Astyanax mexicanus: one gene and its partners. The protein of the gene in region 2 interacts with the protein of the main gene of each other region in a biochemical or structural test. Links are inferred from orthologs where the notes say so. Each region holds a gene or a part of one and is shown on either strand. Other genes may lie near its edges. The genes, in order: tyrosine-protein kinase receptor UFO, gas6 and tyro3.

Evidence for each region.
Region 1: the proteins of gas6 (region 2) and tyrosine-protein kinase receptor UFO form a complex in vitro, tested with the Homo sapiens proteins (2 studies listed by BioGRID and IntAct, with this or other methods). The link is inferred for Astyanax mexicanus from reciprocal best matches to the Homo sapiens genes GAS6 and AXL.
Region 3: the proteins of gas6 (region 2) and tyro3 form a complex in vitro, tested with the Homo sapiens proteins (2 studies listed by BioGRID). The link is inferred for Astyanax mexicanus from reciprocal best matches to the Homo sapiens genes GAS6 and TYRO3.

Annotation. Positions count from the first base shown.
Region 1 is NC_064411.1:43,828,788-43,836,111, forward strand, and holds the start of tyrosine-protein kinase receptor UFO, read left to right. Parts: upstream 1-4,236; 5' UTR 4,237-4,887; coding exon 4,888-4,954; intron 4,955-7,324. UniProt on the Homo sapiens protein: Receptor tyrosine kinase that transduces signals from the extracellular matrix into the cytoplasm by binding growth factor GAS6 and which is thus regulating many physiological processes including cell survival, cell proliferation, migration and differentiation.
Region 2 is NC_064428.1:18,957,366-18,964,486, reverse strand, and holds the start of gas6 (growth arrest-specific protein 6), read right to left. Parts: upstream 3,035-7,121; 5' UTR 2,619-3,034; coding exon 2,546-2,618; intron 1,532-2,545; coding exon 1,371-1,531; intron 1-1,370. Other genes in the region: pros1 (vitamin K-dependent protein S), read right to left, coding at 6,568-6,758. UniProt on the Homo sapiens protein: Ligand for tyrosine-protein kinase receptors AXL, TYRO3 and MER whose signaling is implicated in cell growth and survival, cell adhesion and cell migration.
Region 3 is NC_064421.1:18,847,891-18,854,998, forward strand, and holds the start of tyro3 (tyrosine-protein kinase receptor TYRO3), read right to left. Parts: upstream 3,046-7,108; 5' UTR 2,694-3,045; coding exon 2,636-2,693; intron 1,232-2,635; coding exon 1,048-1,231; intron 1-1,047. UniProt on the Homo sapiens protein: Receptor tyrosine kinase that transduces signals from the extracellular matrix into the cytoplasm by binding to several ligands including TULP1 or GAS6. Regulates many physiological processes including cell survival, migration and differentiation.

The DNA of each region.
Region 1 (7,324 bases), on a different chromosome or scaffold from region 2:
TAGCAGTCAACAATCTCTCACCAAGAGGTACAATGCCCAGAAGTAACCTCTGAGAGGCTATTTATAAGGCAGCGGAGAAAGCACTTCTAGTTGAGACCCAACCTCTAACAATTTACATATCTGTCTGAGACATTCAGTTAGTGCATGCTAAGTTTTGCAGCAATTCAGGGAGGTAAATTAATTTTTCAGTAAGTGTAGTAAAATAACAACTCAACAATAAACAATTGGTTGTAGATCTCTGTTTGTGTTGCCATTTGAAACAATTACAATGCAATCAACGCAATAATAAAGGTTGGGATATTAGTAAGTAATTATTAAGTTGTAAACTGCATTTAGCTGTAATATTTGTTTTTTATTCCTAGTTACATTTTCAGCATATCTTGAAGGACACATCAGAGCTGTTGCTGAGGTGTGATCTCTTAACTGTTGCCTGTTTAGCCAGTTTTTTGCATTAATGCATAAATGGAATGAACTTAATCCACCCTTGGAGCTCTCTCTCTCTCTCTCTCTCTCTCTCTCTTTTGCTCACTCCTAATTAACCCTGCCCTTTACTGCTGTGCTCTGTCTTCCAAGAAAAAAGACCTCCATTCTTCTAATTTTTGTGTTTTTGTCACTCTGTCTCACTCTCTTTCTCTCAGGTCCCTGCTTGCTCTCTCTTTTTCTCGACTTTTTGTCTCTCTCTCGCTCTCTCTCTCTCTCTCTCTCTCTCTCTTTCTCTCTGCATGTATCTATGTGATGTGTGAGCCTGATTCCTCCAGTCGGGTCCTATTGAAAAGCGAAGGACACACAATGGGGTCTTTCTCAGGCGAAGCTCCATCTCCATTAAAGACCCTGGGAACACTGCTCAGTCCCCCGCAAACCTTCACTTAAAGGGCCGACACACACCCACACACACAAACTCGCGCACACACACACACACACTCACACACACACCACACCCTCAGTAGTGCAACCTGACCCCACAACAACACCACTTTCCTGCATCTTCATGGAACAGAGGGAATCCTCTACTCCAAAAAACCCACAAACTAAATAATTCATGAAGTATCAATTCTTCCTTTCCCCCTCCTCTTCCTCCTCCCTCCTACTACACTATATCACCTCCTTCCCTCAGGTTCCCTCATCCGAATTTAAACCTCCACCTGCTCCAGACGTAGACACCGCAAAGCGTGCACCCAAACAAACGAACACAAATGCAGCAGTGTTGTTCTAATGAGCTACTTACTGTCTGTGTTACCTTCTGTCCTTATCTTTGTTTATGTCTCTGTCTGAGGGGGGAATTGTTGACTCTAATTGGGTGGAATCCCACAAAAGAATTTAAACACTTCTTACGCATACTTACGAAACTTTAAACTGTTGTGAGAAAATTCCATTTTTTTTTAAAGATTTAGTCTAGTTCTGTTTATTGCAATGCATTTCCAGTCAGTGTTTTTGCAGTGCTGACTCCACCATGGATGGAAAAGTGCTTTGGCCACAGATTTTCCTCTGACAAAACAGTGACTCAGAATCGTTTGTTTTTTAAACAAATCTTCATGATCTTATGTCTAGAAGACCACAGTAAAACTCAATAAGGTCATGGGATAGCAGTGAAGGGGAAGCGTTAAGAATGCCCACACCTGTATAAGTTGTGAGGTATTATCTTGTGAGTGAGGTTGAACAGGTTGGCCAGTGTGCTCATGGCAAGGTTACATGAATTCTTGGAGTTTGAGTGAGACCTGCTTGTGCGAGCAAGATGGTTAAGACCTTTCTTTTTTGATTTATTTTTTCTTTAAAGGCATTACCACCCACAGGGGACAGCACAGTAGGTAGAAATGATTAGAACTGGTGGTGTCTGGCTAGAGCTGTCCGTACGGACCAACAAGCGACTTACATTCACTGATTCTATTTAATGCAGAAGTCCTCACATGCATATCCCATGGGTCAGTGCAGTGAAAAGTAATGGGGCACAATAGAAGTTCCTGTCTCTTTTTGGCATGTTGCTGTACCTTTAAAGAGTACAACAAAAAAAGGACTGAAAACATTTTTGCTGGGGAATCTTTATTTTGTAAAATAATATTTTTTATTTTATGCCAGTATGGGGTAATCTTTCCCTTTTCTGGGGGGTTTACCCCTAGACCCCCCTCTAGATAAAGCTTAGCCCCCCTAATCATAAACCTCTAAGTTATGCCCCTGGCAAAATCCTAGTCTCTGTTCAAGTTCTATCTACAGATATTTTGAAGATGTTTAGGTTGGGGACTGTGAGGGGGACTGCCTAGGAACAGTTTAGTAACACCCTAGCAACCAGCTTGCAACATCTAAGCAACCACCTAGCTATACCAGAGCAAATGCTTGGCAACATCATACCAAACAGCTGGTAACCACTTAGCAACACTATAGTAAGTACATGGGATACCATAGCAACCTCTTAGCAACACCATAGCAACATCCCTGAGCAACTAGTGGGAACAACTTTGGCTGTGCAGACCCTTTATAAGAATTGGAAAGTTCTTTATAGCTATGTGTCCTTCAAGTTAACTTATGAAGTCTGTAAGTAACTTGTACTAAACATCCTGACAGCATCACCACAGGACATTGTGTGTGAATCTGTGTTAATTTATCTGACCTTATTAACAGAATATGGGAGTGATGGGTTAGTGCTGGAGATAAAACTAAAACACAGCACTATAAATAATAATTAATATTTTATTATTTAAAAGGCTGTCTGTAAGGAACGGGGATTTGTGGGATGCATGAAAGATTTGGCAAATCCTCTCTGTCAAGACAAACAGCTTATTCTTCCATTGACTCGTTTGGTGTTTGATGATCTTCTTGGGGTGTCGTCTTCTTGGGACGCCCACATTGTGCACTGTCTCTGACATCCCCAGTTATATGGAACTTGCCCTTCAATTTGGAGATGGTACTGGGGCTCACTCCAAAAAATGTCGCAACCTGGTTTTGCAGAACACCAGTTTAAAGTTGCCCTATCACGCAGGCTCTATTCAGAACAGTTAAATGTCGCATGATTACAATTCTTGGAGCATACGCATACACCTACCACCTGACCACTATAATCTGCCCTTTAAGTGGCAACCAGGATCTTGGGAGTACGCGAAGTTCAAAACAAGTGTCAACAGCAACAGAAAAATTAGTTTTTGGCAATTGCAGAGAAGATTTGGCAAACATATTAAGGGCTGTTCATCCCACAAATGCCAAATGCATGTTCCATACAAATGTGGCACAATTTAAAATGGAATTATTTTTAAAAGTATAAGATTTCTTGCCAAGAAGCATTGTTACAACAAGGAAATATTCTACTAAAAACTAATTTCCTTACTTTTTGTGGTATGTTTAAACTCCTTTTAACCCCTAAAATGACTTCAGGCTACAGGTGTAGGTGATACATATCCCTTTTTTCTGCAGTAAAATAACGTATTATTATAACTTATTTCCTACAGGACACTTGGAGAAGCTGCCTGTTTACTCTCTATTTCACTTAATAATTCTAGATCAGTAAAAGGAATCAACCCAAATTCTGCATCTTTGAAAACAGACGTAAAAACTAGACAAACATAACAAAACTAAAGGTTTGGAGGACATGAACTGTTTGATTTGTATTCAGGAAAATATTGATTTTTAAATTAAGTTTTTTTTTTTTTCTATTTTCTATTACAATTACAGTTATGATTTTCAGTGATGCTCCTTATCAAACATTGAAAGCTTTTTATGTAATGCTTGAATAAAAATCCTCAAGATTTAGTGGTGTAATGTCAGGCCTGGGCTGTTAGGGGGTTAAATTGATATTTATCTTCTACAGGTCTCAACCACTTAATACATTTAAATTATCACAATAATTGAGTGTTTTACATCTTTTATAACTAGTTTTTGCTTCATTTGTGAACAAAAACTTTAATGAGCTTCTTACTGAATTTATCTGATTCAATTTCTAATTTGGCATTAATTTTCATGGGTTTAGAAATGAGTCTAGGCTCTTATGTGTTAAAACAAGTAAAACTTTGTTTTACTTATGAAGTAAAAGATAGATATAAATAAATAACACATCAAACACAGCTTTGTTGACTTGTTGGGGTGATAAATTGGCAATTGAAGCGTAATGTCTACCCCAGTGACCCATCCTCCCCCCGCCTTTTCTCGTCTTCTGTGAGAAAAAGAGGGAGACTGAGAGAGACCCAGAGGGAGGGATGAAGAGAGGGAGGAGGAGGAGGAGGAGGGATCGAGGAGAATGGAAAGAAGTTGTGTGGAGGAATTTGTTTGAGTCCTGAAGTTTGAAGGGGGGAGTAAGAAAGAGTAGAGGGGCTCTGGTGAGGGAAGGTTGGGGTGTCTTGGGAAACGGCTTGAGGAAACAGGACTTCAAAAATAGCTAACTAGCTCCTAAAATAGCTACTTTTAACAACTTTTGAGGGGAAACTGGAAGACCGGGAGAACTATAGTAAGCTAGTGTGGTTCCTGTGAGGGGTTTATAGGTTAGGAGAAGTTTAAAATAGTCTAGTTCACAGGGAACTTTAGTTTTTCTACCACTTGAGTTTTTGTTTATTTGACAGAAACTGAGTAACTAGCTAATTTACCTCAGCTGAAAGAGAACGACACCAGACTTCTCCGCTCCACAGCATCAGGTTTCAAACTGTTTTTGAGGCATTTTTTCTACTCGAAACCTGAAAAGGAGAACTCTGTGGCTGAAAGGAAAGTCTGCTGCTTAAACAGCAACAGCTTGAGCTATCCTGTCTGAGGTTTAACAGTCTTTTTCAAGGTTTAAAACGTGATTTGAAGTATTGTTGTGTTGAAGCGATGCGGTGACGGTGAGTCATCGAGTAAACACCGCGAGCGCGCGATTCCAATACAACCAAACTAACGAACCGTCTCCAAGAAGTTCTCACACTGAGAGCAAAGAAGATGAAGACCTTCGGATTTCTCCTGCTTTTTCTCACCCTGGAGCTAACCACCGCTGAGAGTTTATCAGGTAAGTCATGGCTGGCTTGTTCTGTTGTGTTTTCAGCAGGTTTAAGTGAAGTTAATCAAGTTTTGAGGAGCAGGAGGCTTGAGTAACACTGTAGAGCAAGTGTAGAGCAGACTCTTAAGAGTTTTGGGGTTGCCCATTGGAGAAGGATAGCATCCACCAACTTCTACAGACCCTAAAAGCCTAAATTTTATCCAAACTCCAGCTTTTGGATTTTTTTGTACAGTTCATTAACATACAGCTTCAGACCACTTCAGTTTCTGAATCAGTTTCTCTAATTTTGCTATGGACAAGATTTCTCCCAAATTCCACATTAAAAATATTGTCATTTAGAGCATTTATTTCAGAGTTCAGATATTGTTTCAAGAGTTCAGAAATCAATATTTGGTGGAATAACCCTGTTTTTCAATCACAGTTTTCAGTTTTTTCCTCAACCAGTCTTACACACTGCTTTTGGATAACTATATGCCACTCAAAATTTAAACAGTTCAGCTTGGTTTGATGGCTTGTGATTATCCATCTTCCTCTTGATTATATTCCAGAGGTTTTCAATTTGGTAAAATCAAAGAAAGTAATAATTTGTGGTGGAATATAGTCAAATCCTCATTATCAGCTAGATATTTTCTTAGAAGAGTAGGTTAGATGTTGTAAGACGCTTCATATAAATATTTCTGTGTTTGGGAAAACTTTGGGAACATTTCTCCACTGTTCCTTATGGCTGTTTGAGTTAGTCTCACTTTTCTCCAATGAGGCTTTTTACACTAGACATTGGAACACTGTTGAGAAAATTCATTAACTAACTTTTGAGTGTGGTTGGATACAGTCAAATCCACACTACACTGTGTTTTCATTAAAGGGTACAGGTTGTGAGAAAGCTTCATATTAAAACTCTTGAGTTTGGAACAGCTAAACACTCATTAAATAATGTTTTTAAAGCTGTGTATAAATCTGCTGTTTATTGTTTCTTTTGACAGTTTGAGTTTGTTCCACTTTTCTCCAAGAAGGCTCTACACTAAATTGTTGTGAGAATTGATTCATTGACTGCATTCAGTCCCAGGAAAAATTGTAATTTTATGTACTAGAGATTAATGATCAGTTCCTAATCACAAACATTATTCTAACTCTTTTGGGTGGAGATTTGTAATTCCAGACAACACAGTTCCAGTGATTTGTTAAAATGTGTAATAAGTGTAAAAAGTAACTCCAGCCTAAATTGTCTTTGTATTTGAATATTGTCAAATTCTCACTACAAGGTGTTCCAACATCTAATGTAAAGCCTTTCTAAAAAAAGAAGAGGGTGTGAGCAATGTTTTGACTTTGGAAGAGCTGCCCATTAATGAATAAACCATTAATACACTATTGTTACTCAATCAGGCCTAATTGTTTTGCTGATATTTTCTCTTTATAATTTCATCTATTTTTTTTAAGTTTGGTTCAAGAAAGACTTTTACGTTTTATATGTTATAGCATGGCTGTGAGAGCTGGTTCACTGCATTTACCCTCAAGAACATTAGTAATGTCAGGTTCTGAAGATTAATGATTAGTTCTGGGTCACAAACATAAGGTTTGGGTGGAGATCTGTCACTCCAGAGAACAGATCAGCCAACACTTCTTAATAAAGCTTTCTTAATAAATGTATAGTTGTCTCATGTATAGTAGCTCATGACTTTGGAAGAGTTTTTCATTAGTACAACATTATTTACATTAATACATTAATACATCATTTGCCAGACAGACAGAAAAAAACATTAAAGACAAAATGTATACATCTACATTTTAGTATCTTTCCATCATTTCTTTTGGATGTTTGGGTTTGTCCCACTTTCCTCATTAAATTAGATGTTTAAATATTGTTGTACGTTTTGAGGGACTGTATTTGGCCCCAATAAAACATCAGGCAATGGATCACAAACACTCTTACTTGTACCAAAGGTGTTGGGTGGAGATTTGTCACTTCTGTGCACTTTGAGAAAGTGATTGGTGATTGAGAAATATATATATATATATTCGTAGACAGATTAAATGAAAAAGTGGTTTCTAATTGGAAATTGGCTTATTAGGAAATTGGCTTAGTACTAGTAAATTGAATTTAATATGTCCCATACGACTTAACATACCTGTGCTATTTTACCTGATGGCACACCTACCCTACATATTGAAGTGAAGAATTTCTCTATGTGTTGTCAACCGGAGCAGAATGTGACTATTTTAAGTCTTAGTTCATTTCAGTGGTACTTCCTCTTGTTCTTTGTTTTCTTTTTCAGTTTCTTCCTCATTGATTTGGAAAAGTGTCAAATCTTTAGAATCTTCTGAAGCTTTTTCTTTGGGTTCTTGTTTTTATTAGTGATATTTTCCTCTTAATCTTGGGAAAGG
Region 2 (7,121 bases):
ACATCTTACTATGAACATGCAGCATGTCTGCCTCTCAGTCTCTCAGTGAAAAAAATAACTCTGTTTAAAGTTGTTTGTTTGGAGATATTTTAGTCTGAAAATACACAAAAGTAAGACAGCTACTTGTAACATGAAGGTTTTTTGAGCCATCAATCATGCCAAGGGGCAGAGTTGCACTGTACAATTTACTTACTAATTTAATGAATCACATGCTGAGGTTTACATGAAAAATCATCACAAGGATGGAGTTCATGCTAGCAAATAGACAGGAAGACCCCACAAATTTAGTACATTGGCACAGCTATCGATAAAAATGTGGATCAGTCCAAGCCCACCACTACTCTCAATAGCTACCAGACCACTGGTTTCACTGGTTCAACTTCATCAAACCATCTGGAATGGACAACTGCCATCCTGCCCCTGCTCTCTAAGCAGCCACGCAGGAACAACAGCACCAATAAATCCCTCAGACTTTCGGGGACTTTTGTCACTTACTGTGCTGTTTGTTTGGAGGTATTTTAGTCTAGAAATACTAAAAGCAAGACAGCTGCTTGTAACATGTAGGTTATAAAGCCATCAATCACGTCAAAAGTTTAAGTTGCATTGTACTGCATTGTAATTCACCTAGTCTAGTTTAATCAAAGAGCACAAGAAGGGGGAGTTCGTGCTAGCGAATAGAGAGGAAGACCCCACAAATCTTCTATACTGGCATAGCTATTGATACTGGCATATATGTATATTGAAATTGAATTAGAACTGTGGATCAGTCCAAGCCCTACACTACTTTCAATAGCTGCCAGACTACTGGTCTCACTGGTTTAACTTCATCAAACCATCCAGAGTGGACAACTGCCAACCTGCCACTGCCCTCAGCCTCAAGCAGCCAAGCATGAACAACAGCACCGATAAATCCCTCAGACTTTCGGGAACTTATGTCACTTAGTGTGCTGCAAAAACAATACAAATCTGTGATAAAAAAGGCGAGTGTGTGTGTCTGGAGGGAGGACAGGGTCTAATTATATCGCGACTCGACTGCAGAATTACTAGGGCATGAAAATGAGGCACACAATCGTTCAGAGTCTCTCTGATAAGCGTCCAATTTCGGGGTGAAGGTCGTCGACTGTTAGAGAGACGGAATATTGTCAGCAGCAGCACAGCAGCAGGAGCAATGCTATCCTACAAGGCTAGTTAGCAAAGAGGACCAACGAACCTTGGCACGAGCGGTCACGCTAACCTACCTGAGCTACCTGGGTTAGTCAGTTGACGTTAGCTAACTAGCTAACCTACCTGCAGTACGCCGCAATAAGGACGTTAAGGACACACGCGCATTTACGAACAATTAATAAATTGTGTATTAAAACTTCGTTTACCGTTTCAGGGTCGTTCTCAAACACTTCTCGCGCCTCTTCTTTTGTACATCTCTCCTCCACACATTCTCTCTCCAAGTGTCCTTGTTTGGTTTCCTCAAAAACCTGGTTCGCTCGTTTTGGTCTTCTTAAAAACTGGCTGGCTTCCTCAGGCGACAAGGACACTGCGAAACACACACACATATAAAGAGAGGAATATTCGTCCAGGTGAAGGACAACGGTGAACAGCTCGGGTCAAGATGCAAGATGCACTTGTTAGCTAGTTAGGTTAGTTCACACTTGTGCCTGTGTCCAAAAACGACTAGCACAGCTAACGTTAAATAAACTGCTAGTTACTGACTATACAGCTCTGGAAAAAAATAAGACCACTTAAAAACGATGAGTTCCTTTGATTTTACCAAATTGAAAACAAGCCATCAAACCAATCTGAACTGCTTGGATTTTTGCACCAGGAGTGACATAACGTTATCCAAAAGCAGTGTGTAAGGCTGGTGGAGGAGAACATGCCAAGATGCATGAAAATGTGATTAAAAACCATGGTTATTCCACCAAACATTGATTTCTGTACTCTTAAAACTTTGTGATTTTTTTTGCATTATTTGAGGTTTGAAAGCTCTGTATCTTTTTTATTTTATGCAAATATATATTCTGAAGGTCAATATTGTTATTTGGAATTTGTGAAGGAATGATGTCCGTAGTTTATAGAATAAAACAAAAATGTTTATTTTACTCAAACATTTACTCAAACGTTTATTTTACTCTATAAATAGCAAAATCAGAGAAACTTATTCAGAAACTGAAGTGGTCTCAATTTGTTTCAGAGCTGTATGTAATAAATGTTCTATTGATAATGTGTACACAATCTTTAACACTGTATTAAGCTCGTTAATGTAGTTATTAAGGTTAACTAACTAGCTAACCTAGGTTAGTTAACTATTTAGCAATAGTGTGTTGTTTTGGACACAGCCACAGCTACAACAACTTACTTAACGTTACAAGCTAACCTAGCAGTGTTTTGGCTTGCTTGTTTCCCACAAGAAAAAGCGACAGTAGCTAAAAGCAGTAAGTCAGTGTTAATAGCAAGCTAACTAGTTATCTAGCTAGCTAGCCATGTTAGTATTTGTTTAAGTTAGCTAAGTTAGCTAACCTAACTTTAGGCTAACTAACTAACTACTTACGCTGCGAGGAGCAGGCGACGCACAGGAGGATGAAGAAACAGCCCGAGAGAAACTCTCCCGGGGTAAGAAGCATGTTTGGTTCGGCAGCAGACTCAGGAAAGTTCCTCCAGTCCTGGTTCTCTCCCTCACTCTTTCTCTTTATTTCTTCTTCTTTTTTTCTGTGCAGCTGAGAAAGCTTTCACTTCTCACAGCGGGGGAGAGTCTATACCGCTACATTCAACTCTCTCTACACGGCTTGCAGAGGCAGACGCATACCACAGCCCAGCTCCCTTTCTCTCCTCCACACACACTCACACACACACACTCTCTCTCTCACACACTCACATTCACACTAGCACGCTTACTCCCGCTCCTCCACACATACATACACCCCCCCTCACTCCCACCTCTCCCCCTCTCTCTCTCACTAGTCGTGGTCTGAACGTGAGCAGCAGCAGCAGCAGATTCGTCTATCCTGCTGGTGGAAAGTAAGTTAGCTCTAGCTAGCAGACACTGGGAGTTCCCAATGCAGAATGCGCAAGAAAGAGAGGCAGGCAGGCAGGCAGGCAGGGAGGGAGGGAGGGAGGGAAAGAGAGGGAAAGAGAGAGAGAGAGAGTCACTCTGTCACTGCAGCAGAAGTACTGCTGTAGTACTGGTAGCTAGATAAGCTTTGCATTAAAAGGCTGCAAAGTTATTATGCACCACCGCATGTGTGTTGATTAGCCTATGTCTCTGTGTTACTGAATAATTATAAAATGTGAAACACATATATTATATAGATGTATTACACACAAAGAGATCTATTTTAAGCATTTTTTAAAATTATATTGCTGATGATTGTGGCTTACAGCCAATGGAAACTCAATAATCAGTGTCTCAGAAAATAGAATATTATATTAGACCAATTGGTACGTTTGGCAGTGTGGGCAGTGTGCCAAATCCTGCTGGAAAATGAAATCTGCATCTCAATAAAAGTTGTCAACAGAAGGAAGCATGAAGTGCTGTAAGATTTTCCGGGAAAACACTGCACTGACTTTGGACTTGGACTTTGATTGAACACAGTGGACCAACACCAGCAGATGACATGTCTTTCCAAACCATCACTGATAATAAAAAGTTTACACTAGACCTCAAGCCGCTTAGATGTTCAATGATGGTTTCGAGAGCCATGTCATCTGCTGGTGTTGGTTAAGTGTGTGTAAAATATTAGTTTTGTCCGCATTAATATTTCACTAATCGTTAATTAATATTAACGATTCGTGAAAACCTCAAACTGTACAACACTTCCCTATACTCGTGTAGAGATAATAGGAGGACGACAAAAAGCTTTTTTCTGAGGTTAAGAGAGATACATATTTACAGATCCTGTAGCCAACATCACAGATGTTACTTGTTTTCGGAAACCCTGGATATTATCAGCAGGTGATGTTCAGCGTCAGTAGCAGGCACAACGCAACCACAACTAGCCAGCTTTGACATGTGTGGAAAGCAAAGCAGCGTACTGCACGATGCCCAAAGGCTCTGTTCAGACTGCAGGTAAATCAAATTTCTTTCCCAAATCAGATCTGTAGAAATTACCATCACTGCAAGTGATCAGATCAGATTTTGTGTCTGTACATCACAAATGTATGTTGCATAGGTTGCTGTGGTAGCAAGGTCAGCATCAGTAACTCATTTTTAAACTCTCTTTTTGGACTCCTGTACATCGGTTACTCTGGATTTGATGAAAGCTTTAAAATATAGTATAAGTCTTTACTGGACAGTAGAGACAGTTGCTCTAACACTTGTTATAAACACCCTTGATTTGAGAACATGCATTGAATAATGCATATGTCCCAGTACCTTTGTATATAGTGGAGTTTTTGAGAAGGTTTACTGTATTTTGGAACATGGCTACAGTGATTTGTGTTTCATTGAGCCACAGGAGCAGTTGTGAATTTGGGCATAAATGTTGAGCAGCAAGGCTTGGATCACAAAAGGATTTTCATTTTTCTTCAAAGGCGTTGAATGTAATAGAAGAAGCTCTGTGAAAGCTATGCAGGTTCTCAAACATATTGCCAAAAAGTGGAAACACAGTTCCCTACAGTGTTATAATATGTTGTAGCATTTGGAATCCCCCTCAGTGGAACTCAGGGTCTATTTAACAGCCTCAGAACGTTTCCCCCCTACATGAAACTTTACACTTGGCACAATGCTTTGCACGTGTAGTTTTTAGGCTAAACTCAACACACAAAGTATATGGACAAAATGTTGGGAGACCTGCTTATAATGAACTCATCTTGCTTTGAAGTAACTGTCTTTACTGTCCAGAGAAGGCTTTCCACTAGAATCTCTGGGAAAATCTGCTGTAGGATGCCATACAGAACATCTGTGCCCCCATGTCAAACCATATCTTATCTTGTTTCCAGACTAGAGCCCCCCAAAAATGTATGTTTTTTTGCTTAAATATTGTAATCACACTTGCAAACCTGCATCTAAATCCATCAACTCCTTATGTAATGCATTTTGAGTGTACTTCATAGTTTCACTATAAAGATAAATGACTGCTTGTAGCCATCATTTTCTCAATTTATTTCTAGATTAATGTTCATATGTTTATACAATTATATATTTAAATATTTTCAGCACAGCAGTGACTTTATTTGGAAAGTGTATTAAGCGCTTTAGTTTTGCTGTATTTTATTTTTCAAATGTCATTACTAGGTTTATTTCTGCCGCACTTGATTAAATATGATTAAACTAGAAGTTGAACAGTGTTCTCATGTGGACCATCTCTCCTCGTTTTTCTCATTTTGCACCAAGATTTTGTTTTCCAAAATACTGCAGTTAAACCCCTTTCCCTGCAGCTTTTTTCCAAAATATGTTTTTCCCCTCAGCTCTTAAAACATTCCTTCTTCACCACCACCACCAGCACCACCACCACTGCTAATCCCCTTTTGGCCAGAACTAGGCTAGATTACATTTGTTCACAATAAAAGCTTAAAAAACTTTACAATACAAAGATAAAAATGAAGTGGATCCTTTGACATTACCTGGATTTCTGCTCTGATTACTAACAAAATGTTTTTTGATCATTATTAGTCACAAGTATAGACAAACACTACCACCTGGAACTTATAACACACAAGCAATATTGTCCATGTCTTTTGTTTGGATTTGCAAATAGCCACAGTACAGGCTAGAAAAATGCATTTTATTGGTGATCAGAGCAAAACATTTAATAAATCCAACAATTGTATAAAATAAGAAAATATATTTATGGTCTGATCTTAAAGCATGATTGAAGATTTTCTATAATTCCATAAGTGCACTAGTACAATGTGGATTTTGAAAATTACAATGGGAACATTTTATTGTATGTATTGTATGTACGTGACATGCAAAAATGAGATTTTTTTGTCGTTTTTATTAAAATACTCAATTAATTCAACACAGAATAAAAATAGTTGGTTTACACTCATTCATCCCATGACTGAAAAAAAAAAAAACAGACCAAAACCAACCCAATAATAAAAGTTCTAATAAATGAATGTGTTCAGAAGGAACAGCCAGTTCATTGTAGACCAGATCCCAGTAAATATCTCAAGTTGGACCAGTCTTTTTTCTACATCTTACAGGAATACTTTGCATTTCATCAGTATAAATCAGAGCTCAGCTCTGTATTGCATTATATGCTATTTCTTGAAAACAGTGACAATGCCCTTTCATGACCAACAGTATTGGCCATTAAGAGCTTAAAAACTGCAGTCTTATCGTTTAGTCGTTAATCTTAAACTTATTATATGTTATAAATTATTTGGTAAATACTTGAACACCAGTGTGTTAGTTGTAACATACAGGCCTTTAAGGTTAAGGTTTACAGTAACGTCTAGATCTCAAGGTACTCAAGGTTTTAGTGTCGTTGCAGATCAACCTCAGAATAAACAAACTACTTTGTTTCTCAGGTCATTTCTGCTCGTCCTCCCTCTCTCTTACTCCTTACAAGTATTTACAGCTGGATAGACAGCACTAGTAATGTATCCCCAATGCTCCAGCCTGTGACATCATTTCCTGTTTAACGCAGCGAGGGTCTCACTGGCCGGAGGTTCAGGAGGGGAAACGGGTGGACAGGAGTGAGATTTGATGCTGTTGTGTTTGTTGACGGCTTCATCAAAATCAAGCAGCTTCCCGTTCACATTGATCTCCATGCAGCCATGGTAGTAGGCTGACACTGGAGTGGAGGAAAGGGGAAGATCTAAAGAAAGAAAAAAAGAGAGAGATTAAACAAATTGAACAGTGTCTTTCAAGTTGTAAGATGCAAAAAACAAAGTGGTATGTAAACGTTTGGGTACCCGCAGTCAATTTGTATAATAGTGAATATGTGATTAATAGATTCACTGATCTCAAAAACAATTTGGGGTAGCTAACTAAGTAAGCTAAAAATAGTAAAGAAAACTGTAATAAAAATGACTTTGCTTTTAAAGAAAAAAGAGTGCTGGATGTTAATCTACACAGATTTCTCTCCTGATAACTGTTTATTTGGGTGAGTAAAGTAAAGCTTTCGTTTATTTACTGTAAGCTTAAGTTTCAGAATTTCTCCAGCACTAGGCTGGAGCAT
Region 3 (7,108 bases), on a different chromosome or scaffold from region 2:
GGTTTCGCCATAGCCCTCCTACCCTAGATTTCATCACAAATCTAAGGACACACCTCAAAAGATCAGGTCACGCACAAGAATCTCACAGAACTGGAACCTTTTGTAAGGAAGAATGAGCCACAATTAACAAGAATTAAACATGTGCTGAAATTTTTAAACTGTTAAAAATTCAAATAAAGTACCATCAGAACTATCAGTGGTTTGCGCATTACTTCAAGTATTGTGTTGTGTTGTTACATTAAAGCCTAAAGCAGAGGGAAGGTTTTTGAAGGAGTCTTTAAAGCTGATTAACTAACTGCAACACCATTTCATCCAAATTCTGACTCACACTTAACCATGAAACACAGAGAAAACACTACACTACACTACGTATCTGTTTCTTAGGCATTTACAATGTTTGAAAACCTGTTTCTTCAGACTGGTGTGAATTTGAAATGAAGCCCTAAAAAATGCAGTGTTTAGTTTTAAGAACCACTACATTATCGCTGCTCTCTGGTGAAAAATTCATCCCAATTCCTTGTCAGTTTTTATTTTTCTCCTACTGTTTGAACCCTGTAGGTGATGTGTGAATAATTCTTGATTAATACACCATTAACACAATAAAAAGGTTCTAAAATGTCTTAAAATAAAGATTTGGGCCATTTCCTGTAAATTCACCATTTTATAGACACATGTTTTTATTGCAAGGACAATAAGTTCCTAAAATGAATGAAGAAGAATTACTGCAGCCTAAATTTAGTTATTGGACGACCACTTAAAATGTTCCATGCTGTTCCTTTTACAAAAAATCCCAAAACCAAATTCTAAGCTGACTTGGGTTACTCAAGCAAATCAAAAGGATGTACACACACAGGCCAAGGGGTTAGTCATGTGAGATACAGTAATAAACAGTAAAAGATTTAACAGCCATAAGGACACACCTTATCAGATGATGTATGAAGTCATAAGAGATGATCTGTGACTATTTAAATAAAGAGCTAAAGACTATTTACATTATTTAATCTTTGCCCTCCAGATTTTGTAAACAATAAGCAGAAATGTTCTTACCTGTGAAAGGTCTCCCAGTGATGGGCTTCTAGAGTGATGTACATCTGATCCGTGCTGTACAGCTTTTCTCCATCTTTCATCCACACAATCTCCGGCTCGCTCAGGCCCTCAATGGCACAGCCCAGACGGGCCATGTTACCTTGGGTTACTGTGAGGTTGGCTGGGTTCTTGGTGAACTTCAGCCCTGAGAGATAACACACAGTACAGATGGGAACATCTTGACATGTGGTACAATCAAGGAAACACTGGCTCTAGAGAGAACAGTCTATTACAGAGTATTTCTAGTTTGTGATATCAAAGCCTTAAAGTTATCAGGGGCTGATTTTTTTTTTAAGTTCTATAAATGTTTTTGTATCAGCATTGGCAAATGTATCAACTTATCTTAATAATAAATCTGATTTAGTCGAATCTACATAGAAATATAGAACATTCTAAAAGGTTTACAAACTTGCAAGCACCACTGCATATATTAATAAACAGATGTTGTTAGAACTGAAAACCAATTCACATAATGGTGGAACATGTTTGTTAACAACACAAACCAACAAAATATTTCCCAGTGCTACATTTCCACAAGGCTATCTAAATTATGATGATGTATGCACTCTTTTTTTTTAAATAAAAAAAAAAATACAGTTGGTCAGTGTTGAAGAAATCCAAAAGAAAATCAACATTAAGTGTATTGTTCACATAATTTATCACAATAAGATAAAATACCTTAGTTTTGCAGACCTTTCTGTTTCGAATACCACCAAACATGTTACAAGTTTGCATTTTCACAGCTTTAGAAGCTTTTGTACCCAAATCTGTGGTCTCCATTGTGCCAAAACCACTGCACAGACCTGTTCCAGTGCCCATGCTCTGACTGAGGCTAGCAGACGTAATGCAAGCTGCAGAAGGATGAAAGCTCTCCAGTGTGGAGGCAGACTACAGCTGGCTTCTACAGTGCTGCAGCTTCAGCCAGAACAGCCTAATCAATGCCTACATTCACTGCCTATGGAGGAACTAATGTGGGGACACTATTAGCTAGATGACAGATTCAATGTTAAACAAACACTGTGATGCCGAATAAAAAATGAAGATTTTTTTATGTATATGCAAAAAAAGATCTATTTTTTATAAAAGAAAAGGTAACCTAATAATTATTTTTTTAAAGCCCATTCAGCATGGACTGCAGGATTATTTTAGATTGCTGGTTTCTTTTATAAAGCTATAATTCTGCTTGAATACAGTCCAGAGGGTAAACCAGGCTGTTGTTGTTGTTGCTGCTGCTGCTGCGGTTTCCAACAAGTAACTTAACGTTAAAGTTATCTAACGTTAGTTAGCCAACCTAGCTAACCTAACTTGAGGTGTCTTTATTTTTTGTTTAAGTTACTTGTTATAAATGTACTTGAATGTATAAATTCAATTTAACAAAAAAAACAAAAACGAACTAATTTGGTAACTAGCTTATCTAAGTTAGTTAACCTAGCTAGCTTAGCTTAGCTTAGCTAACGTTAACTAACTAGTTAAGTTAAGTGGGCTATTCATTAACATTGTTTACACTCTGTTTATCATTATTTATCCACACAATTTTGAACAAACTTACCGTGAACTCCTTCACTATAATGAACGAGGATAAATATTATCCAAAACTTAATTCCCATTTTAGCATCCTCTGAAACGCGACTCGGTCGCTTCACCTCAGCTGAATCAACAAGACCAGCAACTTTAAACAGGCGCGGTTGCTGAATCGCTAATTTACTCGGTATTCGCAGCAGCAAGTGCCGAACAGCGGCAGCAGCAGCTCCACAGTCCCGTCCCCAGAGTCTCCAACGCAGCCAGCAGCAGCAGCAGCAGAACCCCGCTCAGACCTCATCCCCGCCTGAACACTCTCCATACTCCACACACAGCCGAGCAGTATCCAAACATCCCGGCTTCACGGTCTTGGTTCAGTAAAGGAAACTGGACGGAGCTCCTCACACTTCCAAATGTTTCAGCGCTGTGGGGGAATGTGTGAAATCCCACACAATGCCCTCTAGAGACCATCTGCTGAAAAAACACCAAAACTCAGTGGATCCAGCCACCACCTCAAACCCAGCTCTTACAGAGGGCAAACGATATACAGCTCTAAAACAATAAGAGACCACTTAAAATGATTTTCTTTGAATTTACCAAATTAAAAAACCCTGAAATATAATCAAGAGGAAGATGGATGATCACAAGCCATCAAACCAAGCTGTACTGCTTGAATTTTTGCACCAGGAGTGGTATAAAGTTATCCAAAAGCAGTGTGTAAGACTGGTGGAGGAGAACATGCCTAGATGCATGAAAACTGTGATTAAAAACCAGGGTTATTTCACCAAATATTGATTTCTGAACTCTTAATTTGATTAAGAACTTGTTTTCTTTGCATTATTTGAGGTCTAAAAGCTCTGCATCTTTTTTGTTATTTTGCCCGTTTCTCATTTTCTTCAAATAAATGCTCAAAATGACAATATTCTTATTTGGAATTTAGGAGAAATGTGGTCCGTAGTTTATAGAATAAAACAACAATGTTCATTTTAACCAAACATATACCTATAAATCATCAAAATCAGAGAAACTGATTCAGAAACTAAAGTGGTCTCTTATTTTTTTCCAGAGCTTTATAAGTATATAGAAATCACTGCATAAATATGCACAAATAAATAATTTAACTGATTTTCTCTACATGGCAGTTCCTAAAATCTCAACTGAAGAGTAGGGCCTGGTAGTTGCCAAGTGTACCAACAATCCAAGGCCAAATGTTTGCTTAGAACCAGGCCACAAGAGGCTAGCACAAATTGTGTGTCTAGTAACATGTTTGAAAAAAAGTGGTGGAAAAACAGTTAACCCATACGTACCATGTTAAATATATTTATAGCTATTTTCCTAGCTATAGGACCTCTAGGCCATTGACAAACAAATCTGTACATATCAGTTTGCATTTACATTTTTTGTACACTGTACCCTAAAACCCCACACTAAATAACGTTATCATTAAATGTGGTTTCCTTTAAGAGAAAATCCATCACTATCAAATGGCAAAAATAAATAACAGTAATGCTCTCATCAAATGTTTAGAATTTGCAAAGCAGATATTCAGTAAATAAGGCTTGTTCCCATTATTTGATAAGGGAGGAAATAAGTAGGTAGTGATCGTAGACCTAGGGGCTGGAACTTACCATAAAGTACCTTCTAATTTGGAACAGGATCTCCTCTCAGGAAGAGAAGCAGCCACACTAAATAAGTGTACACAACAGAGATAGATAGATAGATAGATAGATAGATAGATAGATAGATAGATAGATAGATAGATAGATAGATAGATAGATAGATAGATAGATAGATAGATAGATAGATAGATAGATAGATAGATAGATAGATAGAAACACATAAAAGTAAGAATATATTTAAACATAAATGTCCTTAGAAACATACTAAATAATTGTCTTACAATATGTTCTCGTTGTCATCTTGACCTTCTTTATTTCTATGATTTGATGAGCAGACAAATAAAGGCATTTTATCATCTCTCAGGCCTCATCTGTTCAGGCCTTGAAGATGTTTTTGCTGGAAGCTGTTTATGATTTTTATAGGACTGAGATGTTCTGCTCTTATCAGTACACTTTTCTTGTGCTGGGCAAAACTAAAAATAACAATAATGTGAGCTTTGACCACAAGAGTATGAGCTACAGGAAAACAAACTAAACTCTCCTCAGAATGGCCTACATGACCGTTTCACATAGCGTAAGGTTGTGTAGAGACATTTTCTAATCACTCATTTCTTTTCAACTTTTTCAGAGACTTTAAAAGGCATGAAGATTATTCAACTGCTAGAGACTGATTGTTCTTAGGACAAGGAGAGGACAAGATTATATGAGATAAAAACTTGTACACTCATCTTTATGCTGTTGGAGCCCAGTAATCTCTCTTTTCAGAGATGAAGAGCATGGTATTAATATGACATTGTTGATGTCATATCGATAGATGGCATTTCATGTTTTTAAGTTTAGTCATTAATATTAGTAAGTAATTAGCAAGATTTTAAATGAGATTAAATGGCACTAAAATATAGTAATAGAATTGTAATAGTAATAGAAATGCACTACAGGTCAGATGTTTTAGAACACCCCCACATATATCTGATCAAATATGAGATGCACAAAAATATAATGGCTGTAACCAAGTCTGTGTTACTTGGGGGAGGGAGGACATCCAACTAGTATTTGATTAATTCCCACTTGTTTCATGATGTGTCAGTGTGTAAGTGCCAGACATTTAAAAACTGTGGTGACAAAAGAGGGGTTAGGTGTAAAAGCTGTGGATGAAAGCTTGTCCTGAATCCACAACATAAACACTGTAGAGTATGTCTATCGGCATAATGTTACGTCCACATCATGTATTGCACTAATGTTAGTTGCTGTAGTTTAGTGCTAAGTTTAGTTGTAATGTTTTTAAATTTCCATCTTAAATAATAAAAATAGAAAAATATGTACTTTGACTTCCAGTCTCGGAGTAAACAACATTTCCTAAGTTTCAGACACAGTTATTATTTATTTTACAAATACATACATAAATTCATAATGGCTGTTTACAGCATATAGAGGGTAATTATTAATTACTAAAATTGCAGACTAATTAAACTCAATAAAACTTTATGTTAGAGTACAAATCTCATCCCTTATCAATTGGGGATGAGCCCTGCATTGTGTAAATTAGTTAATGAAGTTAGCTAAATCTTGGAAAGCTATTAAAATTGCTTAAGTCACATTTTATTTAGACCTAGTTTTAATAAATTAGCCACACTTGTGACATTATCCTAAAGGTGTAGAATCAAATGATCTGTTCAGCTGAGGGTGTAGGAAATTTTATGTAGGTGGTTATTTTAGGAAGGTAACAATATGAAAAATATTAGATTTAATTAATATTATTAATTCCTGAGCAGTCAGCATGTGTCTTCAGTTCCTTATAAATAAAACAGTGTGAAGGTTGTAAAGTCACATATCTGTTAAACATGCAGCAGCTACAAATAACAAATACAAATAACTGAAATGTATAAATCATTTAAAAGCATGTTAAAAATAAAAAAGGGTTTGTTGGGTTAGTTAAACACTTTAAAGGATTATTAAAAAGAATCGTTGCCAAAAGCACATGCTTACATAAAAAATATATATATAATGTACACGATCTAGAGTGAAGGTTAACATTCCTCTATGTTTCTAAAATGTGTTTATTCAGAGAAAGTTGTATTGTTACAGATTGGTGTAATCAATTTCAAAAACTATGCTTTAGAGACAAAATGCAGGTTATACTGAAATTTACCCATAGGACCCTTAAACCTTGTGTAGTGCACTAGGTAGCTGGTGATTATATAGGGAGCGATAGGTCGTTTGAGATTCGCCCAGACCTAGTTTGAGATGAGCGTTTTCCAAAACCCATCGTCTGTCCTCCTCTAGTGGACAGATCGCGTATCATCAGGTTTTCTGCTCTGTTCACTTCCCCCACTGCTCTCCTCTGGGCTGTGATCCGGAGCCTGTCCCGGGCTGTACTGTAGGAAGTCTCTCCGTGACTTTTACACAGTAGTGTAGGTAACGTACACAGAAAGTCAGCCATGCTCGCCGTGGTTTCCATGGTAAGTTACAAAGCCATGTTGATTGCGAGTCACTGAATGCTAACTTTCACTTTGATATTCAGCTCATAAACGGAATAATAACTTGCTCACAAATAAGTTTTGACAGTGAACGTAGTTAACTAGGTAAACTAGTGAACGAAATCACAGGTTATGTGTGGTATTGTTGTAACGTTAGTTAGCTAACTAGCTAGCCAACTGAGCTAGCAGTGAAGCTAAGTTAGTAAGCTAGGTGAGCTAACTTAGCTAACTTAGTAAAACTGGTTGCTAAAACTTTATACGTGTTTTATTTTGTGCTCTGCTTGTGTGTCACCGGCTCCCCGTCCAAAGGGGGTTTGTTGTTTCTCTCCTGTGTATCAAGTTGCCTGTAGGTTAAGTGTAAACGGAGACGCTGCGTGTAAAGTCCTGCTGTCAGATAGAGTTATCTTT